2 linked regions of the Schizosaccharomyces pombe genome follow. The gene in region 1 interacts genetically with each later gene. Each region holds a gene or a part of one and is shown on either strand. Other genes may lie near its edges.

What was found. A genetic interaction does not mean that the proteins touch.
Region 2: of tts1 (region 1) and yop1, changing one enhances a phenotype caused by changing the other (phenotypic enhancement), as found in Schizosaccharomyces pombe (one study listed by BioGRID).

Annotation. Positions count from the first base shown.
Region 1 is NC_003423.3:4,365,909-4,371,899, reverse strand, and holds tts1 (tetra-spanning protein 1), read right to left. Parts: upstream 3,559-5,991; 5' UTR 3,512-3,558; coding exon 3,452-3,511; intron 3,353-3,451; exon of another isoform or gene 3,266-3,352; coding exon 2,486-3,265; 3' UTR 2,084-2,485; downstream 1-2,083. Other genes in the region: COG complex subunit Cog3, read right to left, coding at 1-81, 123-659, 703-933, 989-1,126, 1,167-1,337, 1,388-1,789, 1,832-1,900; arg41 (argininosuccinate lyase), read left to right, coding at 5,133-5,991. UniProt on the Schizosaccharomyces pombe protein: Required for the correct positioning of the cellular division plane by delimiting the actomyosin ring assembly at the cell equator.
Region 2 is NC_003421.2:2,195,293-2,198,805, forward strand, and holds yop1 (ER membrane protein DP1/Yop1), read right to left. Parts: upstream 1,909-3,513; 5' UTR 1,821-1,908; coding exon 1,770-1,820; intron 1,637-1,769; coding exon 1,354-1,636; intron 1,231-1,353; coding exon 1,016-1,230; 3' UTR 501-1,015; downstream 1-500. UniProt on the Schizosaccharomyces pombe protein: Required to generate and maintain the structure of the tubular endoplasmic reticulum network and the vacuole. Induces high curvature in membranes and causes membrane tubule formation. Involved in membrane/vesicle trafficking.

The DNA.
Region 1 (5,991 bases):
GCTAAAATAGCGGTACGCATCTACCAAGGAACGAATGCAGGAGTGCACGAGTTCAAGGGCTATCTCGTCAAATACTTGAGACTAAAAACTGTTAATGGATAAAGTCTAAATGAAACACGTACATTCACCAATCGATAGATTTTCGACAAAATAATTAAAGATTTTTGTACTACCGGATACCAGCCTTGAGCCATAGCAAGTTTTTGTGGAACATCGGGGTCTAGCTTTTCTTCATCATTATTCAAGCGTAACTTTTCTAAGTCGAAGAGCAAACTTTTGTCATCTGCAATAGGATTTAAATCTTCTTCCGTAGGGGAATATCGTTGAATATCGGTTTCAATGGCAGTTTGTACCACAAATAAAAGACGCTCTTGCAACTCAAGTACAAGAGGATTAAGAAATTCAACGACCTTTTTATCAACGTCCTCCCTTTCCCCTTCTAAAATGGCGTTTTGAAATGATTGGATATAAGAACACACCTCGCAAAGTTCGGTAAGGTTTTTTTCATGCAAAATTAATGAACGACTATTTTCAAAAAAGCTTTGACAAAGATTATTCCAATAATGCATAAATCGAAAATCATCCATGATAAGAATTTCACGGAATAACTTATTTTCATCAAAAAAAGTAAGTTGTAAAAGAGCAAGTGATTTTTGGATCTACGGTATCATTAGTTAATTATATATGTTTCGTTAAACATACATAGCTTGAAATGGATTTCTCCATAAAAAAACTTTTCAAATGATAATCCAGTACAGGTTTCAGAAGCCGCGTGCGGCATTGAAAATAGACATCATAAAAAGCAGGAAGAAAAGCATCTAAACTTTCTTTAGAGCATAATTTACATAATTCAGTGATAGTGGGGCAAAGGTTATGACCTACAGCACTAAATCGGGCGTAGAAGAGTGAACTATGAAGCTGTTTGTGAACATCCTAAATAGTTGTTAATGATTGGGGAAAACAAAAACGCCCAAAAGTATATGCCTACCATTTTTTTGGAATCCTTTAGCACTTGATCAGTAGTTTGTTTAATTATCCGTATAAAATACGGTTTAAATATATCCATCGCTTGAGATAGCAGTTTCTTGTATTGACCAAGGTAATGCGGACTTTCTTGAAAATCCAACTAAAAAGTCAGCTAAAATAAAAAACATGGAATTTCGTACATTTTCTTCAAGGAACATGATGCAAGTATTTAATTGAGTAATGTGCTCTTTAAAGGAAACTTTGCCAGCAAAGTCAGGAGGTGGATGCCGAAAAACTCGAGTAAGCTCTTTCAAAGGAGCAAAAATTGTTAATCCTTTTCTTATGCCATCGGCTATTTCGGAAAACCGCATCTGTTCAAGGTGTTAGTAATGATAAGTGGTATGCAGCACGCTCCTAATACCTCATCTGTACTAAGGTTCTCACACATTTCAGAGAATTCACTCAGCTTTTTTTCAGAACTTTCAAACTTTTCTTTCATTGATAACAATGTTGACTCAATGTTATTAGTCTGACCCAATATCTGATCAATAATGTTTGTAAACGTTTGAAGTTCATTAATTTTTTTTTCCGCGTCTTGCTCAATAGAGAAAGTAGGTCTAGAAATTATCCATATGGGGTTCATCTTTTCTTCAAATGGAAATAACGACTGCTTTTCTACGGTTGAATTATTGGGATTAGGCAGAGAAAACGGACGTGCCGGTAAGCTTGAAGAATCATTTAAAATTTCCGTTAAAGAGTCGCGTCTTTCCTTAGAAATGGAATGCACTGTTTCGATATTTTCAAGTTTGGCGACTTCGGGTAGCTAATTGGGTAAGCCCTTGTAAAAACATTTATCTAAGCTTACTTTTATATCATTTTGAGTTTCATTATCCTCATAGTTGACAGCAGGATAAAACTCCAACTGATCAAACATCGTTCAAAATAATTACGATAATCAGAAAAACATCGAGCACTTTGTTGGTGTTTCCCAGTGAACCATAACACAGCGCTACGTTACTTTGCGCAGATGCTAAGAAACAAAACGCATTAACATCACATAAATTCAATTGAAACTGGTATTTTATCCAATGTAAACTAATAACTTGCTAGATTTCAAGAGTGCGCTGCTATACATGTGTTTATTGTGCTACAAAATTCAATAAAACGTATTATTTTTACCTCTTAATCTTTTAATACTCAAAGAGTTTTTGGATAAACAACATATATCCATATTTCAATTTCCTTGAAAAAAGCTAAACTAAAGTCTGAGGAGACCCCCCAAACAAAGATAACTGAAATAGAGGAGTAGTGAGCAAAAATAAATAAACGGAATTATCTCAAACAAGTTTTTAGAGAAAGAGGTAAACGGTATGAACATTCAAAATTTACTTGGGTGAAATAGAAACTACTCGTTAATAGTAAAGAACTCAAAAACCAGGAGCACTTAGACATATTAAAATCACACTGATTGGTGAAATTTATATAAATCTCTAGCAATCAAAAGGAATAAGGCATCACTTTAAGTAGATGAGGGAGCAGTGGTAGAGCTTGATGCAGTGGGACGGCTTTGAGCAGTACCTACAGGTGAAGCACCGAACTTGGACACATAAGTTTTGAATGTATGCCAAGCATTTTTGATAACAGGAGGAACTCTGTTATCTGCAACCAAACGATCCATTCGAAGGCTAACGGCTTTAATGGATGCACGAGTAAAGTGACTATTAGTGTATCTCATGCGAAGAAAGAAAATATAGCCCACCAACCTGGAAATTGAGTTTTTACGTAAGAAAACCCCAAAGAACAAACGGAACAATAAAAATGTTTCGAGAGAAGCAACAAGTTGCATAGCAGGTTGAAATTGGCTTCGAGTGTACTGATTTAGCAAATTAGAAACACGAGAAGCATAAGACGCAGTTTTCGCGTCAGAAATATTAGGGTAAATGGCAGGCAAAAGCACACTACGCAAGTAAGTGGAGATGTGGAAAGTGGCGTAAATGGCATATGGAGCGAGAGAAAATAGGATGGGACGATCAATCAACATTGAAAGAGCTAAAATAAAATACTGAACATTGTCATCGAGCATAAGACGGGCAAAGAAATGCTTATTCCAAGAAGCACGGGAAGTCAAGTTTGGACTATAAGTTTTGTAAAGGACAATTGCATATGCAACGATGGCACCAAAGGCAGCGCTTTTAAACAAAAATGGAGGAGCGGAACGAAAAGGGATTGCTTGAAGAGCATACAAGACGGAAGAGATTAGCACTATTACTTGCCCCGAAAACCAAACAAACTGGGTGTTCTATAATAAACGGTTAGTAATGTATTAAAAGAGTGAAGACAATATGACACTGAATCAAAATAAAATAATGCTGACAAATTAGTCTATGTTTTAGTAATAGATTACAGTTACGTTATGGAACTAAATAAGAAACTTTTCTTATAATCAACATTTATTATCTGATTTACACATGATAGATATATTTACCTTGACAACAGGTAAAACCCTTTCTTTTAAAGGCTTGACAACTCGTTGTTTTGGCTCCATTATAGCAAAGTTGTTATTTTCAAAGTTTTAAAGATGTGGCTTTTGTTAAGTTAATATCCAGCAAAAAGTATGTTGTAATAGTTGTGATAGAGTACAATGTACGCTTACCAATGGAAGATCCTAAATTTTCCTACATCAGAAAAAGAAAACCTATGGAACTTCTGTGAAATACGCTAGTACACGTTTTGACTAGAATTCTTTTAGCAGGAATATAAGCGCTTAAAAAAGGATTTACGCCTTTGAGTAGCATTCAAGCTATTACAATTAAATAGATTTAAATAGGGGCTACACTCTTTAGTTTTCTAAAATCCAATTGTTTAAGTCTAGCAGACACTCCAGAAAGCTAACATAATTCATTTACGACCCTTGATAACAATGTACAAGAAGCTCTGACTAAAATTTTTCAAAGTGAAATGCTAAAGTACGATGTTGTTTGTTACGCTATCTGTTCTATGTTTTACATGGAAACAATAAATGGATTAATTCTTGCACATTTACTAGTGGACAATAAATGGTTCAGATTCAACATTACTATATCACACTTGTATTGCTCGGCAACCTTCAATAACTTCTATTTAAAAATAACTAGCAAGATCTAAACTGGCTCTAGAGTATTCTCGAAGATAACACTTTGTGGATTCCGTTTTGAGTCCAGACGTTCTGTTAACAACATATCCATACGTAAATTGTTAAGTTATTTGTTGGCGAAGACGAGTACTATAAACGAATTTTGAGAAGCTTGGTATAAGTAAATGTTAGACTGTCGAAGTAATACGCCCTATATGTGTTCATGCCAAAAGAAATCAATAATATAGTTGACAATTTGAAATGCAGTGTATAATTTAAGGCAGTAAGAGACGAAAGTAAAGAGGGAAAAGGAAAATCATGTACTGTTATCACTTTATTCTTCGTTGATTTTCTTCTTCTTTATAATCCCACTATATTTGGTGGATTCATAAACTCGGTTGGTCCATGTTTATTTTAATTGATTTTCGTTAGCTATCTTAAAAGAAATTGGGCGGAAGATGCATCATAATGTTTAAACCAGTTTAGTCTGATCAGACACTAGTAAAAACGAGAAAACAATACTTATCTACCAATGAGTTTTCAGGCATCTATAAATATCGTTCTAATAAAAATCGAAAAAACAATCACAACTAACAAGAAAATCTTTTAAGAATTCTCAATCTTTATAACAGTCAATTTTCTTAAATCTAAGCTAATGCTCGCGAAATTCTTTGGTAGCTCTGAGTTAATAAATCAGAAAGACAAAACAAATCATTCAGGTTGAGTACATTTATACAGTAAGATTCCAACCAAAGCTTCCATATATGATATCTTTTGTAAACTTAAGGAAAGAAATAACGAAGCGGAATGTAAACATTTATTAAGTGTTTATACGTTCCAATACGTTAGATCTTATTATAGCGATTATAATATCAATTTCATATCTATCGCCGTATCGTTAATGTGATATAACAATAGGTTGCGATAAGGAAGAGGTTACACGGTCATATAGCCATACTCTCAAAAGATTAGATAAATTAAATTTTAAGTAGTACTACCTCCTTTTTGCGTTGGTTGAAAACTTGAAAAACTGACTCTGTTTTAACAATTCTGAATGGCTTCTTCACAAAAACTTTGGGGCGGTAGATTTACTGGCGCCACTGATCCCTTGATGACAGCTTATAATGAGTCTATTCATTATGACAAGCGCATGTTCAATGCCGACATTGATGGCTCGAAAGCTTATGCTAAGGCATTAGAACAACGCGGAATCATTAGTGCTGATGAATTGGATAAAATGTTAGATGGTTTAGAGGCTGTCCGAGATGAATGGAAGACAAATAAATTCACTCTTCAACCTTCTGACGAAGATATCCATACTGCTAACGAGCGCAGATTGGGAGAAATAATTGGTACAGGCATTGCTGGTAAGCTTCATACAGGAAGAAGTCGCAACGATCAAGTTACGACCGATATGCGCCTTTGGCTACGTGATGAGTTGGACATCATCCAAAAATCTTTAGTTGGGTTACTCCAAGTTTTTGTTGCTCGTGCAGAGTCTGACCTTGATATCATTATGCCCGGTTACACTCATTTGCAAAGAGCCCAGCCTATTCGCTGGTCCCATTTCTTATTGTCTCATGCCTTTTCTATATTAAATGACTTGGATCGCTTGAAACAAATTTATTCTAGAGTCAACCGACTCCCTTTAGGCGCTGGTGCACTTGCTGGTAATCCTTTCGCCGTAGATCGTAAGTTCTTACAAAAGGAACTTGGTTTTGAAGGGGTTATTATGAATTCAATGAATGCTGTAGCTGACCGCGATTATGTTATTGAATTTATGTTCTGGGCTAGTATGGTAATGACCCATATTTCCCGTTTGGCAGAGGATCTTATTATATATTCTACTTCTGAGTTCAACTTCGTTACCCTTTCCGATGCTTATTCAACTGGAAGTAGTATTATGCCTCAAA
Region 2 (3,513 bases), on another chromosome or scaffold:
ACGAAATGAAAGTTTTATTTTTCCACTTTTCTTGTGTTATAACTCCTTTATATATATTTCGTAAGAAAACCTTACAATTCAAATTGTACAATGTTCCTGAATTTTCAAGAAAAATAGTACCAAAGTAGTGTATGTAAAGTCAATAAGAAATACTATTCTTTCGACCAAATATTAATGGAATGTAAACGTTGCAATACACTCTAAATATCGTTTGGAAACGAAACAAAATGTGTGAAGACAGTAGATGTTTTTGTACCCGCTGGGACGGACCATATACCATGGCATGATGTAATGCTAGAAACTTCGAGTATAAGCGAGAAACTGATGTGGTTTAACGAAGTTTCTTAAATGCACAATGTAAAGTGGTAGAGTTCATTATTGTGTTTAACGACGCTATAATGGGTTAACTGTTTATTGAAAGACGTATTGTATGTATTTGTACAAAATATAAATTGATTGCGATATTTTTATATTACAATTCTACAAAGCGGCAGTTACTTTGAGATAGTACTTTGTTATTAATCTTCAGAATTTTTTTCAGCAATTTCGAATATGGGTATATCATTGTAAGTATACTGTAGTCTGGTTATTGCTTTTGGGATGTGTGTGTAAGTTACTATAGTTGCCATAAAATAAATGTCTATTGCAATTTCGGTACTGTGGTAAAGCATGCAGCCTTATAATTTTGTACTGCTCAAAAAGACTACGCGATATACATATAGTATAAACCCTTCAACATTGCCGAGGTCCATGCCGAAAGCGGCATATAAAAGGCCAAATTTTTTTAAATTTTTGACAGTCAATAAAAATAATCAGAACTAGAGGAAAGAGATTCAGAAAGGCAAAGCTTCTGAAACACTGAATTATTTGCAATTGTCCAAAATATAGTCAATTGTGATGGGAAAAAACAAGAAAACAACGTTACCGTTGTATGATTTTCAATCATTCATCGAGTAGTATAGCATAACTATTCTATGGAATACAAGTCCATTCCAAACATTTTGTTCAGAAATCTCTAGATAGAGGGTGGAATGTCAGTAGCGGTAGTATGTGCAAAAGAAGAGGCTGTGGGCGCAGGAGCGGCATTTTGACGAGAAACGCTTTTGCAAATACGGATCACATGAGGAGTGATATAGGGACGGATCAAGTGTCTGTAGATAATGGTAGCACCGTTGAATTTAGGCAAAGCAAGCCAAATCAAGAAAATAGCCTTGAGTAACCAATACACAGCTAAAAAGGAAAATCCCCAGTTAGTAAATAAAAAAAATAAATTTAAAAGCAGAGAGCAAAATTTATTAGATCCTTAATGATCTTATAATCACGCCTCTAAATACAAAAAATTTAAACACTTACGGACATAGTAAAGGATTAGCTGAGACCAGTACTCAATAACGTTGAGGAATGAAGTTACCAAATAATAGGTCAACCATTGAGTGTCATCGGCCTTGTTAGTAGTTTCAATAGCATTGATACTAAAGAAGGCAGGCATCGCGAATGCCAGAAGGTTGGTCAGTAAAAATCCACCCCAGTTCAAGAAAAGGAACAAGGCATATATACCAGCTGCAGTAAGAAAAACATAAAGCTTGCTAACACCAAAATTTTTTTCCAAACTGTTGAGTTGAGGAAAGGCTGCCAACTGGAAAAAAAAGTTAGTAAACAAATTTGAATAGAAAGAATAATTTCTAAAATCACAAGATACTAATAATAGCCTATATTGCCGAGTGCGTAAAGCGGCTTCCATCGGATATCCTGCCTTATTGCTAACATACCCTGTTATCCAAATCTTGCATATTCTGCTTAACACGAACTTGAAAAGACATTTTGGTACTGCTTAATTAAATTATCTGAGTGTTCAATAATTTTTCTTTTGAACGAACTATTTGTCTTAGAATATGGGAGTTGTTTGCTAAAGATAAGTTTGCATTTATTCTATCGGTGGTAGTGAACAACGTCACGATTACAGGCATTCGCTTCGTACCGTCAGTGTGGTATATTAATTAGTGCATAGGAAAGTCGCAGTAAATACGATACTGTATAGTACAAATACAATCCGATTTTCAAAAGAATTGCCGTATGTATTTTCAGCCGATCAAACAGTCATCTTGTGTTTCTGTCTAAGTTTATTTACTTCATTACCAAAGCATTTAACAGTAAAAAAACCATAGCAAAAATGAGCGATTTACTTCCACAGTATGCTACGTTGTATTGTTTTAACCAAACCATGAACAACTGGACTATGCAGTTCGCTAAAGTCAAGCCCTGCAAAATATGTACGGTTGCATTATCTAAAGTTAAGGAGGACAACCGAACTTTACGGTTCTCTGATTTAAAGAATGTCTACATTACATACAAGTCTGCATAGATATATATCACTACCAACATTACTCTTTCAATTGTAATTAAATTACTACTAAATGTAAACAAGTTTTGACTTAATAAAGTAAATTTTTAATTTCTTATTAAATTTATAGTATCGGTAATTATCAAAAACTCGTGGATCGAATAAAAAAACCATCTCAAGAATAGGATGGTGTCTAACTGTTAAAAACGGCTTCTTTTATCTATTTCAAAATTAGTAAAGAATTTTCAAACTTAAGACCAAAAAGTTTTAAGCAAATGAAGAATTTCATCAGTGTAACTATGACAAAATGCTTTATCACTGCAAGAAGGCAACCAAAACGATTACCCCGTTATCCTTGCTATACAATTTGGGTATATATTTCGCATCCTCTGAAATCTCCATTTGTGAAATGATGAAACTTACCTATTTACTATTTAGATGAGCACACTCCAGGTGAAAGAACTATGCAAAAGCAGAAAGCACAGTGCCCTTTATATTCTTCTTAATGTGACTGTTTTTTTGGGGTTTTCAAGAGAAGATATCATAAAATAGCATACATAGCTGTTAATCAAGGATAAGAAGAAGTAATGTTCATCGAAAATAATTGATAGATTAGTTTATTGATATTGTTAATCATTTGAGTAATTTCTGATGTTTTCGTTATAAGGATATGGTTGCTTCTTTGACTCAGTAGGATTGTTATCTGGTTTTTAAAATCGTTACTTGAGAAAATCCCCTAATTTAAGGAATTTTTATATGTTTGTTGGGATTATAGCTGTCTTTGGCTACTGTTAACTGTTGTAATGACAATAGTTTTGGTTTATCTTTCTTACTTTAGACCTTGTAGAAGCACCGGTAAATGTCAAGCAAACTTTTCAAACTGTAAAGTGTATACAGTCTTTAACGACATAGAATTATAGCATCCGTCAACAGCTAAATAAATTATTCGTTTGTCTGTAAAAAATAAAATTGATAACGATTGCTGGAAATTTAGAATCATTGGGATATATTAAGGATGTACCTTCCCACGAAGAAAACACATTCATGAGATGTTTACTGAGACCTGCAATGATTTTTTTCATTCCAATACGTAAATGTTTATTTTTTTATGGGCAAAAGTATGCATTCGTAGATACAACTCTTTTTGGCCGTTGTCAAGCTTAACAGATGAT